Linked DNA regions of Canis lupus familiaris. The protein of the gene in region 6 interacts with the protein of the main gene of each other region in a biochemical or structural test. Links are inferred from orthologs where the notes say so. Each region holds a gene or a part of one and is shown on either strand. Other genes may lie near its edges.

Evidence for each region.
Region 1: of the proteins of LRRK2 (region 6) and RPS15, one has a biochemical effect on the other in vitro, tested with the Homo sapiens proteins (2 studies listed by IntAct). The link is inferred for Canis lupus familiaris from reciprocal best matches to the Homo sapiens genes LRRK2 and RPS15.
Region 2: of the proteins of LRRK2 (region 6) and MAP2K6, one has a biochemical effect on the other in vitro, tested with the Homo sapiens proteins (2 studies listed by BioGRID). The link is inferred for Canis lupus familiaris from reciprocal best matches to the Homo sapiens genes LRRK2 and MAP2K6.
Region 3: of the proteins of LRRK2 (region 6) and SH3GL2, one has a biochemical effect on the other in vitro, tested with the Homo sapiens proteins (2 studies listed by BioGRID and IntAct). The link is inferred for Canis lupus familiaris from reciprocal best matches to the Homo sapiens genes LRRK2 and SH3GL2.
Region 4: of the proteins of LRRK2 (region 6) and RAB5B, one has a biochemical effect on the other in vitro, tested with the Homo sapiens proteins (2 studies listed by IntAct). The link is inferred for Canis lupus familiaris from reciprocal best matches to the Homo sapiens genes LRRK2 and RAB5B.
Region 5: the proteins of LRRK2 (region 6) and ECHS1 interact on a protein array, tested with the Homo sapiens proteins (2 studies listed by BioGRID and IntAct, with this or other methods). The link is inferred for Canis lupus familiaris from reciprocal best matches to the Homo sapiens genes LRRK2 and ECHS1.
Region 7: of the proteins of LRRK2 (region 6) and RAB8A, one has a biochemical effect on the other in vitro, tested with the Homo sapiens proteins (2 studies listed by IntAct). The link is inferred for Canis lupus familiaris from reciprocal best matches to the Homo sapiens genes LRRK2 and RAB8A.

The regions. Positions count from the first base shown.
Region 1 is NC_049241.1:57,874,495-57,877,450, reverse strand, and holds RPS15 (40S ribosomal protein S15), read left to right. Parts: upstream 1-1,354; 5' UTR 1,355-1,450; coding exon 1,451-1,453; intron 1,454-1,804; coding exon 1,805-1,890; intron 1,891-1,984; coding exon 1,985-2,219; intron 2,220-2,310; coding exon 2,311-2,424; 3' UTR 2,425-2,456; downstream 2,457-2,956.
Region 2 is NC_049230.1:11,084,174-11,088,333, reverse strand, and holds the start of MAP2K6 (dual specificity mitogen-activated protein kinase kinase 6), read left to right. Parts: upstream 1-1,360; 5' UTR 1,361-1,641; coding exon 1,642-1,657; intron 1,658-4,160. UniProt on the Homo sapiens protein: Dual specificity protein kinase which acts as an essential component of the MAP kinase signal transduction pathway.
Region 3 is NC_049232.1:37,823,448-37,826,947, forward strand, and holds part of SH3GL2 (endophilin-A1), read left to right. Parts: intron 1-1,333; coding exon 1,334-1,464; intron 1,465-3,500. UniProt on the Homo sapiens protein: Implicated in synaptic vesicle endocytosis. May recruit other proteins to membranes with high curvature. Required for BDNF-dependent dendrite outgrowth.
Region 4 is NC_049231.1:669,367-672,866, reverse strand, and holds part of RAB5B (ras-related protein Rab-5B), read right to left. Parts: intron 936-3,500; 5' UTR 836-935; coding exon 673-835; intron 1-672. UniProt on the Homo sapiens protein: The small GTPases Rab are key regulators of intracellular membrane trafficking, from the formation of transport vesicles to their fusion with membranes.
Region 5 is NC_049249.1:41,450,931-41,453,591, reverse strand, and holds the end of ECHS1 (enoyl-CoA hydratase, mitochondrial), read left to right. Parts: intron 1-956; coding exon 957-1,024; intron 1,025-1,900; coding exon 1,901-1,966; 3' UTR 1,967-2,161; downstream 2,162-2,661. UniProt on the Homo sapiens protein: Converts unsaturated trans-2-enoyl-CoA species ((2E)-enoyl-CoA) to the corresponding (3S)-3hydroxyacyl-CoA species through addition of a water molecule to the double bond.
Region 6 is NC_049248.1:33,246,660-33,250,159, forward strand, and holds part of LRRK2 (leucine-rich repeat serine/threonine-protein kinase 2), read left to right. Parts: intron 1-3,070; coding exon 3,071-3,258; intron 3,259-3,500. UniProt on the Homo sapiens protein: Serine/threonine-protein kinase which phosphorylates a broad range of proteins involved in multiple processes such as neuronal plasticity, innate immunity, autophagy, and vesicle trafficking.
Region 7 is NC_049241.1:46,760,030-46,764,004, reverse strand, and holds the start of RAB8A (ras-related protein Rab-8A), read left to right. Parts: upstream 1-1,175; 5' UTR 1,176-1,184; coding exon 1,185-1,308; intron 1,309-3,975. UniProt on the Homo sapiens protein: The small GTPases Rab are key regulators of intracellular membrane trafficking, from the formation of transport vesicles to their fusion with membranes.

The DNA.
Region 1 (2,956 bases), on a different chromosome or scaffold from region 6:
AGATTTCCTGTTCCCTCCAGGCCAGCCCCAGCTCCCCACAAAGCCAAACCCCACCCAGCAAACTGGCCTGAGGCCAGGAGGGGGCTGGAGGCCCGGGGCTGCCGTTCCCACGGAGACCAGCCCGGTCAGCTGGGTGGGGCAGAGGCACCCACCTCACTCCTACCCCGCCCGCCCGCCCCGTGTTCAGTGCTGTGACCCTTACCCTCGGGGTTAGCACCGCCACTTCACCTTGTTCTCTGCGTGCGTGCGGCTGGTTCTTGTTTCTATGCTTCTGTTGTTTTTGCTTTACGTGAGAATTTTCTAGTGTAGCATTTTAATTCTTTTAATGATTATTTTTTTCATATCTTTTGAGTCATTTTCTTAGAGGCTGCTCTAGCTTAAGATGCACCATCGTGGGACGCCTGAGTGGCTCAGCAGTTGAGCGTCTGCCTTTGGCTCAGGGTGTGATCGAGTCCCCATCAGGGTCCCCGCAGGGAGCCTGCTTCTCCCTCTGCCTGTCTCTCTGCCTCTCTGGGTGTCTCATGAACAAATAAAATCTTAAAAAAAAAGATTCATCGTACTAACCCTCTGTAAACACCTCAGGGCACAGAGCACACTCACCCTGCCGCGCACCCACCCCCACCACCATCTCTAGAACCTTCCCCATCCCCAGGAAGCACTGACCCCCGCCCCCTGCCCCACCCCTGGCTCCCACCACCTCCTCCTCTGTCTCTGTGGACGGGCCTCCTCTGGGGACCTCCTGGGAGTGGGGTCCTGCAGGAGGCGTCCTTCTGGGTCTGGATCCCCTCCCTGAGCCCGGTGTCCTCGGGGTCCATCCACGTGCGGCAGGTGTCGGGCCCCTTCCTTCCCGGGGCTGGACCGTATCCCGGGTGTGGTCGTATCCCCTGGATGGACACCGGGGTGCTTCCCCCTCCTGCCCCCCGTGAGGCTGCTGCGCACCTGCGCCCGTTGGAGCCCCAGCCTTGGCTCCCGGGTCACAGCTCCATCACAGCCCAGCCCGTCCCTTGTGCCCAGTCGCGGTTACACGTCACCTGCACACCTGTTAGGGAACAGAGCGGTGCCCGGCGGTTCCGGGGCTCCGCGTGCTGAAGCCTGGCGGGTCCCCACCCGGGGCGCCTTCTCGCCCCGCCCCCGCCCCGGCTCCTCCTCCGCGCTCGGGACTCACGGCCGCCCCCCCTGGAGCTCCCATCCCGCGCGGCGCTGAGCCCGACCCCGCACACAGCACCTGGGCCCGGGGAGGGCTGCAGGAGGAGGCGGATGCGCAGGGCCCAGCGAGGGTCCCAGGTGCCCCGCCCCGCCTGCGCTGCGCCCTCCCGCCAGCAGGGGGCGCGCTCCCCCGCCCGGAAAGCGGAAGCGCGTTCGCGGACGGCGAGGGGGCGGGGCGCGCGGGGCGCACGTGATAACCGCGCAGGCGCGGAGCGGCGGCCTTTCCCGCAGAGGAACTGGCAAGATGGTGAGTACTCTGGGCTTCCGCGGCGGTTCCCGGCCCATCCGACGCCATCCGCGGCCTGGCCGCCCCGTGAGCGCCCGGGTCCGGCCGCCCGGCTGCGGCAGCCGCCTCCAGGCCCGCGGGAGCCCCGGACGTGAGGGCGCGGGGCGGGCCCGGTCCGTGCCGGGAGGACGCGGGGCGAGGCCGGTCCCCGCCGGACCCCAGCCGCCCGCAGCCGCGTGTGCGCTCCCGGGCCGGGCGCGTCGTGGCCCCGTGGGCTGCGGGGCGCGGGCCGGGTGGGCGCGGCGGCCGTGGGGCCGGCTCCCACCCGCGCTGCCCCCCTGACCTCGCTGCCCCCGCGCCCGGCCCGCGCAGGCGGAGGTGGAGCAGAAGAAGAAGCGCACGTTCCGCAAGTTCACCTACCGCGGCGTGGACCTGGACCAGCTGCTCGACATGTCCTAGTAAGCGCGGCCGGGCGGGCGGGCGGGCGGGGCGGGGCGGGGACGGGGGCGGGGGGCGCCCCGGCTCAGGCCCCCGCCTGTCCCCGCGTCCCAGCGAGCAGCTCATGCAGCTGTACAGCGCGCGGCAGCGGCGCCGGCTGAACCGGGGTCTGCGGCGGAAGCAACACTCGCTGCTCAAGCGCCTGCGCAAGGCCAAGAAGGAGGCGCCCCCGATGGAGAAGCCCGAGGTGGTGAAGACGCACCTGCGGGACATGATCATCCTGCCCGAGATGGTGGGCAGCATGGTGGGCGTCTACAACGGCAAGACCTTCAACCAGGTGGAGATCAAGGTTCGCGGGGCTGCCGGGCCACTGGGGGGTGGGTGGGGGGCGACCTGGCGGCCTGCGCCCCGTGACGCCCTCCCCTGCTCGCCCTCCGCAGCCCGAGATGATCGGCCACTACCTGGGCGAGTTCTCCATCACCTACAAGCCCGTGAAGCACGGCAGGCCCGGCATCGGGGCCACGCACTCCTCCCGCTTCATCCCCCTCAAGTAGCCGGTCGGCCAATAAAGGCACCGACTCCCGGACTCGTGTGGTCCAGCGTCTGAGCTTGCTTCCTCCCGTCGGCGCGCGCCTGGTTTCCCGCCGCGGGCGCCGGCTTGGCCCCACCTAGCTGCGGTCGGTCGTTGGCAGCCTCCTGGCATCCCCTGGGCCGAGGGAGGCGTCTGCCCTGGGGCCGTGCCCTTCTGGGGCCGCGGCTCCCCACCTCTCCCTCCCCGGGGTGGGTCCACAGCTGGAGCGGATGACTGCGGGTATTTCTGCTCAGGTGCATCCCCCTTGTCGGCACAGGGCACCCCGAGGTGGTGGATGGCCCAGACTGGGTGCTAACTGTCCGGGCAGTGGGGGCTGTAACTCGCTGACGGATCACAGGTGGGGAGACGGGAGGCGGTGCTCTGGGTTTGCCCCGAGGGAGCTGACCTGGGGACAGCAGGGAGGTGGGAAGCGAGGTGCCTTCTGTGCGCCCAACAGTGGTAAGGTGTGCGCACCCCTGGGAGCGGAGGGATGGCCAGGTGCTGAGCTGGGGCCC
Region 2 (4,160 bases), on a different chromosome or scaffold from region 6:
CCCTTTTTAATTTCCCACTACTGACCTGACCTATCTCTAGACCCTCCGAGAGTTTCCATTCATGGAGATAGCTGAGGACAAATTTTCTGAAAACAATGCTTTGATTCTGTTAAGCGCCCCCCCCCCCCCAAAGCCTTTCACCTCCCAAGTACCTGCTGAATAAAGTCCAACCCCCTAGTTGGCCTTTACCGCCCAGCACAGTCCTCACCTACACATTCTGTCCACCACCACTTTTGCATACAAGCAACATGGTATCCTTAGTGTCTCCTGAATAGGCTGTCTTCATTTCCTTACCCTGCTTGTTAGGGTCTCAGATGCCTACAATCCTCCATTTCCCCCACTCTACCTTGAAAGCACATTTCTGAGTCTGGTCTACTCAGTAAAGCAGAAGTCTGAGCTCATTTCAGCCCATGCCCCCAGACTCGGTTTCATTCCTTGCATGGAATCACCCTGCGCATCTCTGGCTTCCTTGCGTAGGGGGTGGCTCTGTCTACCATATTGCTGCCCATCCCCTAGCCATGAACAACACATGACAAGTGGATGCCCCAAGACCCTAGAAAGGAGGCTGGCCCATCCAAGCTCAACAAATACCTGTTAATTTTGTCGACTAAATTCAAGATACCTGATTTGCTTAAGATTACCACCCCGTTTCTCCCTTACACCAGGGACTTTCCTCCTCCATCAGGTGAGAAAAAAAAAAAAAAACAACTAAACATTTTAACTCTGATACAGTTAGCTTGGACACCTAAAAAGCAGCACTTCCTCTTTAACCCTTCAAGAAATGAGAACTATCCGCCCTCCCATCCCCCCAACCCCCAGGAATGAATGAATTTCAGGTTTCTTGAAAATAACCGACCCGGATCATTTCTTAGTAAAAACTCTGCATCTTCTCTCTTCAGTTGCCAGGGGTCACCTTACCTCTAAACCAGGCCAAATCACCAACCAATGCTCCATGCGAGAAAACTGTTCTAAAAAAATGGAGGTGTGGGGGTAAAACGTCTACGGGCAAGGACACTGCAACAGGTGCTGCCCTGCAAGCACGAAACAGCCAAGCCAACCTTCTCGGCGAGCCAAATGCTTTTCAGCTAACCTAATGTTCTTCAACTGTTGTTGTTTCAGGGGCTTTTCCGTAACAAAAATGCTCCCTCGCCCTGGCCCCGCCGTTTCTGGCCTCATCACTTCACTACCGACTGCATGTCTGACTTGTTTATCTGGGTGCACCCAGTCCTCCCGCTCAGCGACCCGAGCGACCACGTTTCCTTAAATCCGAGCCCCGTGGACTCTGCTCGGAACTACATTACCCAGCGGCCCCTGCGCCCTTCGCAGGAAGGACGTCTGCGCACTAAGATACTCAGTTCCAAGTTTGGAGCTTTTAGCTGCCAGCCCTGGCCCATCATGTAGCTGCAGCACAGCCTTCCCTAACGTTGCAACTGGGGGAAAAATCACTTTCCAGTCTGTTTTGCAAGGTGTGCATTTACATCTTGATTCCCTGAAAGTCCATCTGCTGCATCGGTCAAGAGAAACTCCACTTGCATGAAGATTGCACGCCTGCAGCTTGCATCTTTGTTGCAAAACTAGCTACAGAAGAGAAGCAAGGCAAAGTCTTTTGTGCTCCCCTCCCCCATCAAAGGAAAGGGGAAAATGTCTCAGTCGAAAGGTAAGAGGCTATTTGCATTACTTGCAAAAATGCAAAGGGTTGTGCATGCATTTATGAATGCATGGATGCAATTTTCGCCTGGCGATTGCATTTTTAAGTTTGAGGTTTTCCACAGCTCAGTTGCATTTCCTGTTTAGTATGTGTCTTTTTTTTGCAGACACAGAGAGTTCCTGTAAGGCAGGGCTTGCAGTTCAGCTGTGCATTGACGTTATTTGCATTCTTCTGCTAGGATTACTGAGCTCTTTTTGCCTTTTGCACAGTCAGGAGAGATAGAGCAGGTTGGTAGCGTCTAAATGTGCAGTGCTTTATATAATTGTAAAATTCTTTAGTATGCACACACATTATAAGTAATTTTATGTGCAACAGGAATACAAACTTTTAAAAAGTCCGTAGGTGAAGATGAAAGGTAAAAGTTGAGTTAAACTAGTAGGAAATTAATGTAATCTTATATTCCTTTGGGAATAAACCGTTGCGGTGCCTGTTTTTAGCTAAATTTCCATTGATATCGCTTTGAACATTAAGCAACTTTTGATTTTTAAAGGAAGTAAAGGTGAAGTGTGAATAATAACATATTACCAAAAAAAAAAAAAAAAAGCAGACGAGAAGTCTTTCTCTTCTGAGATTTTGCACTGTACACCAATTGCTTATTGGCTCACAGTATTTAGAAGCAGCAGTGAGGACATAGATGTTTTATGTCTCCCCATTTGGGAGATGCTTTGCATCTTGGGGGAAAATATGGGGAGAAAAACTGTACTTTTAAGCATTATACCAACAAGAGGGGACTGCACCGTTTTGTTGAAAATCATAATAAAATCTTTTAAATGTATAATTTCATGTATTTAGACATCTATACTAAGTCAGAAATTCAGGGTTATGGTTGTTTTTAATTTTTTTTCATTTTCTTGATTTTTTTTTTTTTTTTTTTTTTACACAGTTGTGTTTTGCAGCCCTAATGTCATTCTGGGGAGGGGATTTTAAAAATTTCTGACATGGCATTAGAGAGCTAAGGGGGTGTTGTCAGGTGTCTCTAGGACCCTAAGTCACTTGTTTCAGAACAAATCCTTCCCTATAGAGAAAGCATATGCCATATGAGGATGTATGGAGGGAAGAGGTGAATTAGGTATAGGTGAGTAAGACTACATGCATGGGTAAGATCTGGTGAAATTAAAGTGTCTCATAAGCTTTCTGCCCTTTTTTTTTTTTTTTTTTGGCTTTTTGTTGAATCCCTTTTTAATTCCTGATGAGAATCATACATCTCAGACCAAGAAGGAGGTGATATATATTCTCAAGAGTTCAAAGTAAGGCTGTGTTTTCCTTGACCATTAGGGGAGAATGGGACTCTGGAAAGCTCAGAGTGCTGAAGAACGTAGGAATTGGCATTATGAAGTGCAGATGTTCCTTAATAGAGGGAAAACCTACAATCTCTTAGACATAACAGCTTCGAATGGGCATTCCAAGCTTTGATGTATTAAAGAGCTGGCATCAGTTACTTTGTATTTGGTATACACTTATTTATTCAATTCGGTTTAATAGATGTATAAATATGTATGTGTATGTGTGTAGGTATCTGTACATATTCATGTATGTGGATGTATGAGATTTTAAATAGATAGATAGATAGATAGATAGATAGATAGATAGATAGATAATGTAGTGCATAGGATTTGGGGGCATACAAAAATATTTAAAATGTACCTGTTTCCTTCAAGGAACTTACCATTTAGAAAGCACGTATGCAAATCATGATGATACAAGATTATTGTATAGATAGTAAAAAGAAATGTCCCAGTTGGAGTTCAGAAATGGCAATGATCTCTCTGGGAGATAGGTTTCATGAAGAAGATGGTATTATAGTGATCTTATCTTTGGACCTTAGGGTCTAAAGTAAATCAGGTTTCTTTTCTACTTTTTTTTTTTTTTTTTCCTCACTCTGAAGGTAGCTTTGTCCTAGTAAAGCAAGTTTCTGAGTTGAGAAACTAAAAGATACTAGCATGGCACACTTCTATCAGGAGTGCGCCCACTGTAGATCAGATACTGGTGGTGGTTCTTCAGATCAGTTCCCAGTTAGCCAAATGGTTTTTGTTAATTGGGTCCTCTTCGGAAGGTACATCTGGTGTCAATGTGAGGTTCCTGTGCAGAAAGAAAATTATCGATAGAAGGAAGTGGATGATCATTTCAGAAATGGCATGGAAGCCTTGGCCTGGATGTTAAGTGTGGAATTGGCCTAATTCAGCTACGGTATTCTCAAGTGGCCAAGACATTTTTCGCAGTACCAAACTGCTTTGTAATACTATAACCAAGTGGAATGGGAGGCAGAAGTGAAAGGTGGACACAACCTCATAGTATTGAAGAATTTAACAACATGTTCAATTCAAAGGACCTTTACGAACTTTCTGGATCACTATAATTCGGTTTCACAGACCTCTAATTTAAGGCAGAGCAGAGGCAAAAGAATTACAGACTCTCTGGGAGCTGGAAGGACTGGGCTACTTCTTCCCAGCCT
Region 3 (3,500 bases), on a different chromosome or scaffold from region 6:
GATTGGGAAACTAGGATGCTACCAAGGATAATGCATGTGATTTACTGAGCAGATATTCTCTGTAGGCACTGAAGGCTTACCATCATCAGTCATCTAACAGTCCTATAAACTAAGTATGATTAGCCTTACCTACAGGTGGAAAGGCCCAGCGAGATAAAGTAACTAGCCTCAGGTCACACAGTGGTACAACTGGGGTTTGCCAGGCAAGCATAGCCTATTTGAAAGCCAGTTATCTTTTCACACCATTTCCCTGAATGGTGAGCAGGTCCTCCAGCATCAGAGAGACAGCTTTCCTATGCCTGTTCCTCCTCCTCAGAAGCACCCTGCAGCCGGGCATAGATGTGTTCCTTGTGATTAGGCCTCCCCATAGTTGCAGGCCACTGCCTGACACCTGTAGGCAGAGGCCCTACACTGTAGTACATGTCACTTTGTGCATCTTTGGTCGATGCACCCTTGTGGGAATGTGTGTCCCACTCTGAAGCTTCTAGAAAGATTTAAACCATGCACTTCAACATACTAAAGAGATATTATTATTTGCCTTTATGACATCTGTTGAGCAAAAAAGGCCATTTTCTCTTTTTCCTCTGAAACATGTTAAAAGTCCGTATCATTCTGTAATCACCATATTTTAACCTCTCCCCATCCTTGCAAATCTGCTGGACACTCTACTTCATGAACATGAGACTGTGAATGGTAGTTGGAGTGCGTGGAGTACATTAGTTGGCCATACCTTTCCACTTTCCTCCTATCTTCCCTCATTTCTTTCCCACTTCTTGCATCTTAAACTGCTCACTGTTCTCAGGACACATGATATTTCCTCCTTCCAGACCTTCTCAAGCTCTTAAACTCTTTCTTCTGGAAAGAACTGTTCATCTGGAAATGACTCTAAGCTGTCTTTTCTCCCTCTCCATAGGCCTTTCTGTGGGCAGGTAGACTCCTCCCCACTCCCCATCTCCATCCCCATGTCCCCGTAGCATTCTGTGTGTCTCCATAACAACACTCACCACGGTTTATGGTTTACGATCCTCAGTTTACCTTCTGTCTCCCTTCCAACTATAAGCTGCTTGAGGGCAAGAATGGTGTCGTATGCGTCTTCATGTTCAAGAGTGCACATTTGCAAAGTGAGCTCTGAATAAATAAGGAAGAGGTGAGGGATGGAGACAGGATGAAGAGGGCAAGGATCTGACCACAGAGGGACATCACAGAAATGTAGAGACATACACAGAGAAGGTGGCTTTGCATTAGGAGCTTTCCTGGATGTTAATTGCTTTTCTGTTTGCTTCTTAATTGGCTCCATGCTCCTATTCCCCCCTTCCTTGTCTTTTTAACACAGAATAAGACAAGCTTCATCTCAACCTAGAAGGGAATATCAGCCTAAACCGCGAATGAGCCTGGAGTTTACAACTGGAGACAGTACTCAGCCCAATGGGGGCCTCTCCCACACGGGCACACCCAAACCTGCAGGTAAGTTGCTGAGACCTGCAGACCCCATTACACAGGCTGTGGGCACATGCCGTCGATACTTTTCCAGAAATTCTAGGTGCAGCCTGGCTGGCTGCACAAGAAACTATACAGTGATACATTTCTTACAGGATGGTTTTGTCATGTAGAAGCTCTTTTAAAGCACTCCATCCTTATTTTCCCATTGATCATTTCTTTGCCTCCTTTTCCCCCTTCTCTCCTCTAGAAATGTCCCTTTTTCTCTCACCATTATCAGCACCCATTAACCTTCTAAGTAACACAATTGATTTTGACCTCTCTTTGTGGTTTTAATTTACCATAGGTGTCAGGGGTGTCATCTTTCTTTTCTGTTTCCCCTGTGTTCCAGCCTGCTTGAGGGTGAATGCCCTGGCAGGGTGTGCCCACATGCACTCACATATAACCCATAGACAGCAACTCCAGGAACATATCAAACTGGATTTCTTAAGTCACTGGAGCCTATGGGTGACTGTACGTATAGACAATATATTTTGAATATCAACATCAGCTAGCTTTCCCTCCTTCCTCCACCTTCAACCAGTTCACTGTACCCTGGCAACTGAGGTTGGTATAGTAAAAGCTAAAATTTATTTTCTATCAATATCAATAATATTGATGTATACCCAATAATATGTTTTTTTAGTTGACACCATTGCTCTCTACCCCGTATAATACAGATTAAGGAAAAGCTTGTGCTTGAGACATTTTCAACCTTAACAATTTGTTTGGTTGAAGAAGTGGAAACTGTCTTACACTGGGCATGGACTTCAAAGAAATAAGAGTGTCTCCTATTTTCCCTGTGACCCACTGCTTGATGTTTGTAGTAGGAAATGTTTTATGAAATGCTCTCTGGAGACCAGGAAATAAAATCGTGAGCTCTGTGGTGGTAGTTGGCACTCTCCACCCTTTGTGTTCACCTAACTAGTTGCTTGAAGCTGCCCAGGGTAGGGTATAATCAGCAGTGGCTCTTACAAGTTAGCTGGCTCCGAGGACTAATCATGTAAATTGGGATTAGTTTGCTTCTCCCTATTCAGAAACCAACCACATATTTTACTCTTCTTTTGGAGACTTGGTCATTTTCTGCTTTCTTAAAGTAAAAAAAGAAAATAGATTTTAATTTAAAGTCATCAGACATGGGGGCAATATGTACTTGTCTGAGTTTACATGCCCATGTGGATGCATGCTTTATTAAATATAGATGGTCATTTAAAATAGATCACTTTTAAGATACAATTCCATTCCTCATTATCTTACTGAAGGCAGAGCGTGTTATTTTTGTGTGCCAGAACTCCCATGTACTCATCCTTATATATGCAACAGTTTACAAAGAGTAAGTTATATAATTTTTACGTAATTTCACTTGATAGCCACAATAGTATTACGGCGTAGATCCTATTAGTTATAATGCTAGGCAAAGAAACTTGAAAGGGAAGTACCTTGTATAAAGTCACCCAGAGTATGAACTCGAACCCAGTGTCTTATATTGTTTTGTTTTCACCACATTACAGCAGTTTTCCAGAGGCTGGAGTCTTTACTTTTGAAAAATGAGGACGCACAGTTATTCTGAGGTTGCTAATAAGCATTGTCCATGTAATGAACCTGACTCTTTCACATGTACAGAGATTTTAAAATGCTAACATTGAAAGCATTCTGACCATGTTCTAGTAACCTAAATTCCATCAAAATTCCTTAAGTCACTGGGTCTCCCATCTCTGGACATTGTCAGGAAGGCAAACCTTGGTGGACTGTGTTGCATGTGTCACCAGCATAGATGAGGCCGTTATTCATACTGGAAATGGAAGCACATATCCAGCCACTTCCAGGAATCTGAGAAAACTTCCAAAGACTCGTGAAGAGCAGATGCTATGCAGTGGACTGGGGACTAGCCTCAAGAGGAAACTTCAGCAGGAAGAGGAGTGAGGGAGGAAGCAAGGAGGATGGCGGGCTGGAAAGGTTAAGCAGGTGGTAGACTTGTGAGTTAAATGCCCCTTGTCTTTCTGTATTCTTCTCTCCTGCTTTCA
Region 4 (3,500 bases), on a different chromosome or scaffold from region 6:
CTGGTCAAAAACACCACATTTCCAAGGTAACTAGTAAAAGCGGGAAAGGAGTAACATGGGAGTTCTCATAAAAGGTCTTTTACTAACTAGCACCCTGTTTTGGGAGTAGAAGGGAGATGGTAGCAAAGGTGGAAAAGGCACATACCTTTTATCTTTTGTATTTAGTTCCAGCCTCTCTTTTACCAGGTATGTACATCCGAATCATCTAAGCTTTTCCAAACGTATAGGTCTCTATCTCCCCACCCTTACTCTAGTTCCAATGCTAATCAGTAGATCTAGGATAGGGCCTAAGCATGACAGGATGAAAATGTTCCCCAAGAGATTCTGATGTTCATTTCTGATTATGAATCACTGCTCCAAGCCAACCCTGTTCTAGATGACACTCAACTGAACTTCAATTGGATTAAGAGAGAAGTGGGAGGCAGAAGACAAACTGGGCTTTAAAAAATTAAGTGACCTTGGTGTGCCAAGGTCATCCTAATTTTCTTCTAGGAAGCAAGGGGACAAGCATATAACTACTTTTTGGCATTATGGACTTTTTTTTTTTTTCCAGTTTTATAAAGGATTTCCATTCCAAGGAGCTTAAAAAGGCCAGCTACACAGTCAGATCCCTCGATCTCCCTTCAAAAGCCTCACTAATCATTGACCCTCTTCTTTCCCTGAGGTACTCACCTCCAATGGTGCTCTCCTGGTACTCATGAAACTGCCCTTTGACAAAACGTAATACCAGGCTAGACTTCCCCACTGCAGATTCACCCAGCAGGACCAATTTGAACTGGCATATTTTGCTGGCCTGGGGCTGCCCATTGGGCCTGGCTGTGCTTCTGCTAGTCATGGCTAGATTATCAGAATGGGGAAGGGTAGAGGGAGGGGGATGCCACAAAGCGGCAAAGGGGGGAGGGGGGAAGGGGAGGGGACTTCAGGCTTCAACAATCCTGCAAGAAAAAAAGTAGGTAAAATTAAACACAGGGACATTGCAGCTGCAATTAATTTTAGAGAAAAGATAAATCTCTTCATTTCTTTGCTTCTATGAGGACTTAGCAATTAAAATCATCCACCATTAAAAGGTTATCCCACTGAGAGGGTCCCAGGCAGCTGACACTCCGTGGCAAGAATGGGAAACAATAAAATAAGAATTGCATCTGAAGTGGAGTTTGCCCTACTACATAATCCTCAATTGCCAAGGGAGCTGAAATGGAGAGATGGAAAACTGTTATATGTTTATTTCCCATTAATTCCTCATCATTTTTTTTTTTTTTTTAATTCATGATAGAGGGATCCCTGGGTGGTGCAGCGGTTTGGCGCCTGCCTTTGGCCCAGGGCGTGATCCTGGAGTCCCCGGGATCGAATCCCACGTCAGGCTCCCGGTGCATGGAGCCTGCTTCTCCCTCTGCCTATGTCTCTGCCTCTCTCTCTCTCTCTCTCTCTCTCTGTGACTATCATAAATAAATAAATAAATTAAAAAAAATAATTCATGATAGACATAGAGAGAGAGAGGCAGAGACACCAGAGGAGGGAGAAGCAGGCTCCCTGCCGGGAGCCCGACGTGGGACTCGATCCCGGGGACTCCAGGATCACGCCCTGGGCCAAAGGCAGCCGCCAAACCGCTGAGCCACCCAGGGATCCCGGGAGGGACTCTTTAAGCAGACTTTAGCTGAGCCTGGAGCAGGATGTAGGGCTCTATCCTACAACCCATGAGATCATGACCTGAGCCTGAAACCATAACCCAGAAACTCAACCCACTAAGCCACCCAGGTCCCCCAGCACCACACCACCACAGGTCTTCAAAGAACAGCAAACCAAGAAGTGGGGAGGGGCAGAGTGAGAGAGAGGATCTTAAGCAGGCTGCAAGCTCAGCACAGAGTCTGATGCAGGGCTCCATCTCCCAACCCTAAGATCATGACCTGAGCTGAAACCAAGAGTTGGATGCTTAACCAACTGAGCCATCTAGGCACCCCAAACCAAACAACTTTTAGTTGGCCTGAAGAACACCCAGATGCACCCATACATGCCCTAAGTCCCCAGTAGCTCATTAGTATCCTGGTACTGTTCTTCCCCCCACTCCCATCTTTTTTTCTAGCTTTCAAAATGGAAGATTCACTACAAGGGTATGGGATTAGTCACCCCTCCCTAAGAGCAGAGGGGTAGCTTCTGGTTCCATATCCTTCATCTATAACCAGTCTTCTTGATATTTCTGAATCTCTAACCAGGGTCCATTTGCCAGAAAAGCTGTCCTTTCTCGTTTCTGGCCAAAGGTGAGTAGAAAATAGAAAAATAGACCATAGAAGTGCCTGAGTGGCTCAGTCAGTTAAGCATCTGCCTTTGGCCTAGGTTATGATCTCAGGGTCCTAGGATTGAGCCCCACATCGGGCTCTCTGCTCAGTGGGGAGCCTGTTTCTCCCTCCCCCTCTGCCTGCTTATGTGCTCTGTGAAACAAATAAATAATAATTAAAAAAAAAAAAAAAAAAGGACCACAGACAACCAACAGACCACATTCAGCATCAACTCTTCCACTTTGTCTTGCTACCTCTCCAAGTCTGAAAATCTATTAGAATAAGAATCGGTAGGCTTGGCCTACTCTCAACTTGCAGCTGTCTTCCTGGTGTCGAGGGATTGGATTACCCTCCACACTAAATGGGCCTAACAGCTGTAGGCCTCCAAATTAGAGGCAAAGAAAGAGCATGTACCTTCTAAACACATGTAGGAGTCTCCAGAGGATGATGTAGGGGTAAGTTTTCTTGTTTTTTGTTTGTTTGTTTGTCTTTTTATTTTTTATTTTATTTTTTTGTTTGTCTTAAAGATTTTATTTTAGAGAGAGATAGCGTGAGTGGGGGTGGGGCAGGCAGAGGAAAAGGGAGAGAGAGAGAATCCTAAGCAGACTCTGCCCTGAGTGTGGAGGTAGACATGGGGCTTGATCCCAGGACCCTGAGATCATGACCTGAGCTAAAATCAAGAGTCAGATACTTAACAAACTGAGCCACCCAGGTACCCTGTAGGGATAAGCTTTCCAGCAGGAAACACTTGATGAAAATAAACTGAGCTACCTTCTTTACCTTTCAAGGGGCTTGGAAAGCTGATGGTGAAGGAAGAGCCAGAGAGACGTTGAGACTTTGAAGGTCTAATTATCCAACCCTGAATATAATTTATATTTCATCATTCTGACTCTGAGGGGAAATGAACCACCAAAGGAGTTAATATGATCAGAGCATGTAAAAACCTCTGTCCAAAACCTAAGCATTGCTTGGGTTGTACTTTGTTCAAATGAATCTTTCCTTTCTCAAAGGTTGATTCTAGTAACAATCTGCAATTCTAGTAAAGCTGGGAAACACAGTGAAGTCCAATTCACTGGGTGTATTTTACAGTTGTGCTACTAGCTCTGAAGCTTTGAGGAAGTTACTAAATCTGTGCATTCATTTCATCTGTAAAATGGGATAATAGCCTTATGAGCTCTTATGAAATGATAATTATAATAGAAATGAATGGAAGTATTTAACAATAAG
Region 5 (2,661 bases), on a different chromosome or scaffold from region 6:
GGTCTGCGGCTCCTCTGCAGGGAGGCGGGCGGGCCCCCCGGGCTGCTGGCCTTGGCTGAACCGCCGTGGGTGATGCGTCCCCACAGAATGAGCAGTTAGCTCACGCGGGGGCGGCCCCCGCTGCTTGTGCTGTCCAGGCGCCTGCTGTCCGTCCAGGTGCTCAGCCAGGGACACCACTTCGCCTTCCCGGGGCCACAGTGCCCTGCCCGCCCAGGACTCTGTTATGGCACAACGTTTTTTACGGTTTTCATCCTTCATTCTCATTTTCTTTTTAATTTTATTTATTTATTCATGAGAAGAAAGACAGGCAGAGACACAGGCAGAGGGAGAAGCAGGCTCCATGCAGGGAGCCTGACGCAGGACTCGATCTCAGGTCTCCAGGATCACGCCCTGGGCTGAAGGCAGCGCTAAACTGCTGAGCCCCCCGGGCTGCCCCTTCATTCTCATTTTTTAATGCTTTTTAAAATATATGTAATTCTGGGGGGGCACCTGGGTGGCTCAGCCCACAGAGCATCTGACTCCTGGCTCAGGTCGTGATGTCAGGTCGGGAGCCGAGCTCCAGCTCCAGCTCCGTGCTCAGCGGGGGTCTGCTTGTGACTGTGCCCCTCGCGCTGCCCCTGCGCCTGCTTGTACACGCTCACAGTTTCTCTCAACATAACATTTTAAAAACTAATAAGTAGTATGTGATTCTCTTGGCCCTCCAGTCCTCTTGTGCTTGCACAGAGTTGGCCGTCGCACTCTTGACTCCATTCCTTGTTCCTCTCCTGTGGGGCCGCCGGCGGGAAGCCGGGGGCAGGGGGCGGGGGGGGGGGGGTCTTCGTAGGCGACCGTGTAGGTCACAATATCACGACAAAATCGAGGCTGATTGGGTCAGTGGGGAGTGTTTCCTGTCCCCATGAAGAGTTGTCTGTTCCCACATCTGCCCCTGGGTCATAACCTAAGGGATTTCTTTTCAGCTTTTGAAATGACGCTAACGGAGGGAAACAGGCTGGAGAAGAAGCTCTTCTACGCGACTTTCGCTACTGTGAGTGAGCGTCGGGGTGGATGGACGCGGGGCCCAGCCAGAGAGCGCGCCGGGGAGGTCCCCGTAGGGCTGCGGTAAATGAGTTGTCTGCCGCCCTGCAGCTGGATCAGATGCGTCCTGCCCACGAGCACAATTAGCAAATAACTGCCCAAAGTATGAAGCGTTACATCCTTGACCAAGGTCTCAGGAATCAGGAATCGCGCCCTTAAACGGCAGCCTCCTGTATTTAAAGGCAATCCATCTGCCGTAATTTTCTAGATCGTTCCAACGACTTGGCGTGGAGTTGGAATGTATCTAATGCTGTGTTCTGAGGCTTCAGAACAGTGTCCTGCAGGATTTGACAGTAAGCGAGAGGCAGTCCTTCTAGTAACAGGTGTTGAAACCCACCTGCCGCGATTAGAGTCCTAGACAGGTGTGTTTTATGGGAGCTCGGAAACGGCCGTGGCCCTCGAGGAAGTGAAGGCGTGCGTGTGACCATGTGCACGCTCGTGCGTACGCGCAGGGAAGGTGTAGGGCTAGGGCTTGCACGCCTGTGTCCTGCTCCATGGCGCTCAGGATGGTCCTCCACGCGGACCGCCACTAAACCCAGGGAGCGAATTAGTGAACGGCCCAAGCAGGTGCGTCTGAGGCTCCCTGGGTGAGAGTTTGACACACGAAGCGGTGGTTCTTGGATGATCACCCCTGGGGGCTCCGGTGGCCGGGGTTCCAGGCCATGCGCAGGTGCGCAGGCAGTCCCGGGGCAGGACCCTCCCCACCCTGGGAATCTGTCAGAGGAGCCCAGCAGACCGAGAGCAAACCCAGAACGGGCCGAGCCCGTGCCTCCGCCCGTAGGAAACCGGGAACGTCCATCTCTACCTATTTTCCTTCTCCCACCAGGAAGACCGGAAGGAAGGGATGACCGCGTTTGTGGAAAAGAGAAAGGCCAGCTTCAAAGACCAGTGAGCGCCTCCGCCTCTGCCTTGAACCCTCGACTCGAAGACAGGAATTACGGTCTGACGGTCTTAGAAGCAAATAAATTCTCTAGTAAAGGGCCCTGTAGGCGGCACGCAGTCTCTGACGCACGGGGCTCTCGCTCTCCTGAGTGGGGGCGGTCTTCACCCGGCGGTCCTGAGACTCCGTGTCTGGAGCCTGTTCTCATTCTGACTGAGCAGATTCTTAATCAAAAATTCTCACACACACACACACAAATTCTTACGAGGGGAGCTTGGGCGGCGCAGTTGGTTACGTGGCTGGCACTGAGCCCAGGTCATGATCTCAGGGTCGTGGGGCTGAGCCCTGCATCGGGCTCCCTGCTTGGTGGGGAGTCGGCTTCAGACCCTCCGTCTGCTCCTCCCCACACTCGTGTGCACACTTGAGCGCTCTCTCTCTCTCTCTGTCAAATAAATAACCCTAAAAAAAAATCCTGCTGGTGAGCCCTCAGTGGTGTGTGTAAGTTTTCACTTGACTTTAGGGACTGAGATATTTCGATGCCAGACTCACTCCGTACAGCCTGCCGTGTTGAGATGGACGCGCGTTCCCCCGGTCGCTGTGCAGCTTCGCAGCCCGTGAATGTGAAACTCGGAGGAGGGCGCCACCGGCATGCAGCGGACGGAAATCACGCTGTGCCTCTCCTCGTAAGCAGACGCCACGTCGCTCTT
Region 6 (3,500 bases):
TTCCGTCATTGCACAGAGAAGTTTGCAAAAACTCATTTAACCATATGATAAAAGAGATATGAAGGACACTTACTGAATTAATCAGGTGGAACATTAAAAAGCTTGCATGGCAATGTAATCTTGTTAAAAACTTGGGTGAGGAACTTGGGAAATTTTCTTTCTTTGCATAACGGCATACGTTAGGAATTATAAATTATGAGGCAGAAGGAATATAAAGAGTTCTTTCAAAGGTGATAAAATTTAGATAACATTTCAGTTTTGCATTGCTATGTAACAAGATACCCCCAAACTTGGAGTAAAACATCAACATTTTATTGTTTCTCACTGTTCTGTGGGCTGACCATGCTCAGCGGAACAGCTCTGCTGCCATGGCATTGGCAGGGGTCATTCACTTGGCTTCCTTCATTGAGTCAAGCTGCTGAGTCCAAGAAACTTACACTCACATTTTTGGTATGTTGGTGCTCCACCATGTAGTCTTTCATATGACCAGTCCTCTCAAAGGGTGGGCCCAGAGCTGATAAAATGTCAGTTGTGCCATGTTCTAATGACTGGAGTAACCATAGAGCCTATCCAGGTTCAAGAGGAATCAAGGATCCTTCAAGAAATGAAAGATCAAACACCACACCTGTGTAGGAAGAGAAGCAATTCATGTGTCTGTCTTTGGAAACCATCTACTACAAATAGTGGTAGTGCACCATAGATCTACTTAAAAACATCAAGCACAAACTCCTATTTTATTTTATTAATTTTTAAAAAGATTTTATTTATTTTTTCATGAGACCCACAGAGAGAGAGAGAGGCAGAGACACAGGCAGAGGGAGAAGCAGGCTCCATGCAGGGAGCCTGATGTGGGACTTGATCCTGGGACTCCAGGATCATGCCTTGAGCCAAAGGCAGATGCTCAACCACTGAGCCACCCAGGCATCCCAACAAACATGCCAATTTTAAATCAATGTTTCTAGGAGTGCACAGCTGGCTCAGTCAGAAGAGCTTGCAGCTCTCAATCTTCCAGGTTGTGAGTTCAAGCCCCATGTTGGGTATAGACATTACTTAAAAAAACCTTAAGAAAATTTTAAAAATGAAGTCAAAGTATCAAAATAAATTAGAGTGAGTATATAATAATGGCTAACATACAAGGGGTTACTTATGTGCTATTCAAACATTTTCTCATGTAATTCTCAGAGCAACTCTTTTAAATGGTACTAGATTAGTCCTCATCCTGAAGATGAAGAAATTGATGGACAGAGAAGTTAAACAATTTATCCAAATCAACATATTTAGGAAGAAGTAGAGTTGGGATTTCAAACTAAGTAGTTTGACTCCAGTGCCCCTAAATCAAACCCCAGGATAAAATGCTCTACACTTTCTTTTCCCCAGATTCACTCATCCAACATTGATTTGAGACCTACAGTGTCCCAGATGTTGTTCTGATGCTGGATAAGCATTATAAGCATAGATAAAACAATGTTCCTGCTTTCGTGAAGCTGATATTCAAATAGGAGGAAATAACCAATAAATAAACACTTAAAATGTCAGGTGGCAGATGCTGTAAAGAAAATGCAAAATATGGTTGGAATAGAGAGGGAGTTGTCAGACAAGGTCTTATCAACTTTATTTTCAAACAATTAAAAAAAACTATGGATTCATGAGACACATACACACACAGACAGGCAGAGGGAGAAGCAGGCTTCTTGAGGGGAGCCTGATGTGGGACTCGATCCTAGGACCCCAGGATCATTACCTGAGCCAAAGGCAGATGCTCAACCACTGAGCCACCCAGGCACCCCTGGTCTTAACAACTTTAAAAATGCCAGAACAGCAACCAATTTTCCTTACCACCTGATTTGTAAGAGCAGTCTGGGCTCTAAAGTGCACAATATGGGAGAAGTCCCACACTGCAGTTTTTATTATTTAATGACCCATTTATACATTGTTGTTAGACACCATTGTGTTCAGCCAGTCATGCATTCATTGATTCAATAATGATTCAATACATATAATTATGTACCAAACAGAGATATAGAGATAAAGGAGATAAGTCCGTGGACCTAAGGATTTTACAATCCAATATTTCACCCACCTACATGATAATGTACATAATATATGCTCCTATTGAAGTATCCCTTATATGCTAAAGATCGAGTAAAGAAATTAAGCACAAACTTAAAAAAATCATTTGGCTAAGTAAAATGAATAGGAATATGTAGATAGTAATAGCTAACATATGAGGGCTTACTATAAGCTAAAAATTGTCATATGCACTTTGCATGCCTTTTGTATGTTATCTTATTTCAATGTCATGACAGTCTAAGGGTGAGTCACTTTTATTATCTGATCTGATTGAAACTGTGGCTTAAGGAAATTATATACCTTTCTCAAGATAACGCAGCTAGTACTAGAACATGGATTTGAACCTGGGTTCTTCTGAAGTTAATACTTTTAACTTCTGTGATGATGGTCAAAGCTGAAAGTATGGTCTCTATAGTAGAATCATCGGAGTTTCTTGTTAAACAAGCACATTCTCAAGCTTCATCTCAGACCTACTGATCCAGGCTCCATCTGGAGTCCAGCGAAATTCTGTAGTTACTTTGTGTAAGAATCACTAACCTGTACCACATACTGCCTCTCTTCCTATTGATGGAAACCGTTTTCCTTTATGCTCAAGTAACATTTCTAAGGCAAACCTGTGGCAAACCTGTAATGAGAACATAGTCTAGAGGATAATTTCCCAATAAATATATTGTTGATGAGGCTATAATAAGGATGAAGGGTGTTGGATTGATTTGTTAATTGGAGCTGGGGAAGGTTTAACATTCATTGATTGCAGAGGATCTCTATAATATTTGATTTGCATTCACTCTCTTAATTTTTTTTTTTTTTTGTGGAGGAATGGTTGCCCTACTGGGCTTCTGGTTACAGGGCTTCTAGTAGAGAAATCAGGTGCCCTGTTACACTTGACAACATTAAATTGTTTTGATCATATCAATAGCAAAGAGACACAAAATGCTTTAAATTAAACACTTTTCAGAGAATGAATTCTAGTGATTATTTACGAGTTTAAATCTTTCAGATTTTGACAGTGAAAGTGGAAGGCTATCCAAAACATCCTAAGGGAATCATTTCACGTAGAGATGTGGAAAAATTTCTTTCAAAGAAAAAGAGATTTCCAAAGAACTACATGTCACAGTATTTTAAACTGCTAGAAAAATTCCAGATTGCCTTGCCAATAGGAGAAGAATATTTGCTGGTTCCAAGCAGGTAAACCTAAACTGGAAATTCACCATCTATTATATGTTTTAATTGTCAAAATAACTTTGGTTTATGATAAATGTATTAATTTTTTTGCTTCTTGTGTACACTCTCTACTGAAATGTAACATTTATTTTTAATGAAAACACTACATTTGACACTTCAAAGGTATAGTAAATGATTTGTTTTATGTATGTAATTACTGTTTGGTTTACCACTACTTGAATTACTTAAGAAAGGAAAATAGTGAT
Region 7 (3,975 bases), on a different chromosome or scaffold from region 6:
AGGGGGCCAGGCGTGGGCGACGGGAGACACCCGCAAGGAGGGTGGGCGGCGGCTCCGCTGGAAGCTCCCCCCTCGGCCCCCCCCCCCCCCCGCCGCGCCCGGATCCAGATCCGAGTGTAGATGCCCGCACCCCCCGACGGCGCGGCCCACCTCCGACCCGCAGGTCATCTCGGGCTTCCCAAGCCTGCGCGTCTGAGCTCGGGCCCGGTTCCCCATTCGGGAGCCTGGGGAAATCACTGAAGCTCGGTTTTCTAACCCATCAACGGGCGGGAAGCCCAGTACCAAGCCGGCGGGTCGGAGTGGGGCCACCTGGTGTTGTTTTCCCAGTGCGGACCACTCGGGCAGGCCAACACCAAGCTCGGAGCCACGTCCCAGCATCCTCACGGGGCTGCATCCGCGGCGGGGCGGCCGGCGCTCGGGCTCTGGGCAGGCTCCGGTTAGGTCCGAGGGCCTCGCGGCTCGGGTGGCGGAGGCCCGGCAGCGCCAAGCGGTCCCCTGGCCAGCGCCGAGGCCCCGGAGGACGTCTCGCGGGGACCTCGCTTCGACCCCGGCTCTGCCTTCCCCTTCGCGCGCCGGGGCCCGACGCCGCAGCCGCCGCACAACGCGGCCACCCGCGCGGCCCCTTCCCGCGTTCTTCCCAGCGCCTACTGAGGCTGCGCAGGCGTGAGGGCGGGAGAGCCAGGGCCCGCCGCGCGCGCGCCCTCTGCTGGCGCCTAACGATCCCCCCGGCCCCGTACGCACGTCCCAAGCCCCGCCCCCGAGCCGCGGGCGCGCGGAGCCGTTGGCGACGTGCCCCGCCCTCCCCTCCCGCCGGGGGGCGGGGCCGCCCCGGAGCCGGGAGAGGTGGGGGGGGGGGGGAGAGGGAAAGAAGGCGGGGACCCGGGAGGCCACGCCCCCCGCCGGGCTGCATTTGAAGCCCCCGACTCTTCAGGGCTGGCCAATTGGAGCCCGCCCTGTCCCGAGCGCCGACCAATGAGCGGCGCGCTCGGGCCGCTTCCGGCACCGCGCCTCGCTCGCCCCTTCCCCAGCTCTCCCCGCGACGGGCGGGGCGCGGGAGCGGGCGGCGGCCGCGGTGACGCGCGGCGGGCTGGGAGCCAATAGGGGGCGGGCTCGGCGCTGATGGACGGGGCCCGCGGCCAGTGGCGAGGCGCTGGCCGCACTTCCCGTCGGGGAGAGAGTGTAATATGGCGAAGACCTACGATTACCTGTTCAAGCTGCTGCTGATCGGGGACTCGGGGGTGGGGAAGACCTGTGTCCTGTTCCGCTTCTCCGAGGACGCCTTCAACTCAACTTTCATCTCCACCATAGGTAGCGGGGCCGGGGAGCGGCGGAGGACGCCGGAGGCCCGGGCCGGGCGCGCCCCTGAAGGGCTGGGGTTGAGGGAGCGGCTGGGCCGGACGGATCCAGGGATCTGAGAGGGTCGAGGGGGCCGGAGGGGCGGAGAGCAGCCGCCTCCGCCGCCTTCCGGGGGTTACCGGGCAGCGGGGGGAGGCGGCGAACCAAGTGCCCATTTTGCAGATGGGGGGACTGAGGCCCCACCCCTCAGGCTGCTTGTCAGGAAGTATGTGTCTCGGGCTGGGGTCCCGGCTCCGGTCGTCTCGTTCTGTTCACACGGCAGCCTTCGAAGCTGTTCCTTTGGGGTCCCCGCCTTACAGAAGCGAAACAGGCTTGGGGAGTAGGCCATCGGAAGAGGCCTGTGACATCTGAACCTTATTAAGCATTTACTGTGTGCTAGCCGCTTTATGGGCATTATCACACTTTCCAGTCCTCTGTGTTAGGTGCTCTAAATGAGCCCGTCTCACATGAGGAATTTGAAGCTCAGGGAAACGGGGGACTCCCCCAAGGTCACGTCTGCAGGTGGCAGAGGTGGAATTTGAATCCATGTGGGTCTAACACGAAAGCTCAAGGCAGGATCCTGCCGGAGGGATGTGAGCGCTGGTCCCCAGGGCAAACACTGCTGGTCCATCTGAGAACCAGCACTCTCAACCAACTCTCTCCTGCTCTTTCCTCTGGAATGTTCAGGGGGTAAGCCCGGCTCCCTGACCCTGTTTCCCCTATGGGTGAATTTCTCCTAGAAGGAATGGTGAGAAGGAGTCTGGAGCCTTTCTCCGCCCAAACTTCCATCACTTGAGGGTGTCAAGGGTGAGTGACCACTGCCTGCCCTAGGACCTGTCACCCCCAAGGAGATGCCAGATAAAAACTTGAGTGACAAACCAAAATCAGCCGCTGCCACAGACAGCCCTGACTTCCCTATCTGGAGGCCCAGAACACCAGTTGTCACTTTGCAGAACAGCCTTTCCCACAGGGCCAGCCCACATTGTGGTTGAACAGAATTGGCTTGTTGCTTCTCAGTTCTGATATCCACAAAAGTGGAGCTGACTTCTCCCGACGCCACAAAAACAGCCATTGCCCATGTGAAAACATTTGACCTGGAAGTAACGCCGATCAAATCGCGTGGCCTGTGAGCTCCACAGCCTTGCTGCAGAGTGGTCACCAAGCTCAGGAGTTGATTCTGAATGGGGAAAACCTGGGCACCAGGCTTTGCTTTACCCCCGTGTAACTTGAATCCAATCACCTTATCTCTATGAACCCCGTGATGAGCTGCTCATTCCATCCTTGCCCTCCTCCAGGAGCTGCACGTTACAGTTATGTTCCTGATGCAGAGTGGAGAGAATCGCACTGGAAATCGTCATGCCTGCTTGCCAGCTGTTGTTTGCCCTTGAACCAGCACTTAGCCTCTCTGAGTCCTATTCCTTCAGTTTAGGACTAATGCTTTCTGCCTTGGCCAGTGCCCTGGATGGTTGAGGATCAGAACTATATAGTGAATAAGAGGTGGTCATCATGGCCAGAGGCTGCCTGGAGGAAGCAGAATGTCTCCTGCAGTGACACCATCCCCTCCCTAGACACAGATGCTTCTGATTCCTCCCCTTCCACCACCCCAAGGTCAAACTTTGGGACAACCCTTGCATCCCATCCCCACCGGTCAGGAAGAGATGTTAACTCCTGGCAGGCTGTGGCTCGTCCTCAACCCAGACCTCAGTTTCCCAGCCTCAGGAACTTGCTGTTCAGTACAGGCACTAGTGAGATCAATTCAGAGATTGGGCTTTTTTGTTCGGTTTCTAATTCTCAACCAGAAAGCCCAGTCTAGCACTTTAGGGCTCTGAGAAGACTGGCCTCCACTTCCAGACAAAGATATGACTTGGGCCAGGTCACCTGGGGACACAGGTCGCACTTGAGCCCGGAATCCCTCCCTCCTCCCACCTTGGCATTCTCATTACATTTATAGTTTTCCTGCAGGTCTCTGTCTTCTAAGAAAATTTAATTCATCCTGGCCTTGAAGTAATGGCCTCATAATTCTTAGCCTTGTAAAGTTTACACTTCCTAATTATATTTGGTGTGTTCATGAAATGCAGGAAGAGATGAGGACAGAGTGATGCTGTGGAACCTTGCCAGTAGAACGGTGCTTCTTGATTTTATATGGCCCTGTGCATCTGTGACAGGAGGTGGGGAGTGTTTTAGGAAGGAATAGCACTGGGCCCCTGAGTCCTGAGACACAAACTGACTGGATAAAGGTGATTCTCTGTTGGTGCTGAGTGTACCTCTGGGCTTGCTTTATAGATCAGGGATTAAGTGGCTGTTCGTTTCCTGCCCACGTTTCGTTTTGCCAAAGCCTATTCTCCTAAGCTCCATCAATCATTTGTGGTGTAAACTTGGCCCCGTGGCTCCTGGAATTGCTTCTTCACAGCCTGGCTCAGCTTCCAACGTCTCCTCAGGGTCCCATTCACTCATTCCTTCAGGGAGACAGATGGCACAGCGTCAAAGTGCTTCGTAAACCACGCAGCACCATGTAGACCCCGTTCCTCTTAGTTCTATTGTCCTGCCATCTTTCCCCAATGCCTGCTGGCTGCCAGCAGGGCTGCACATCTGAATGACTGCATGCCAGCCGGTCTGCATCTGCATAACTTGGATGAATCA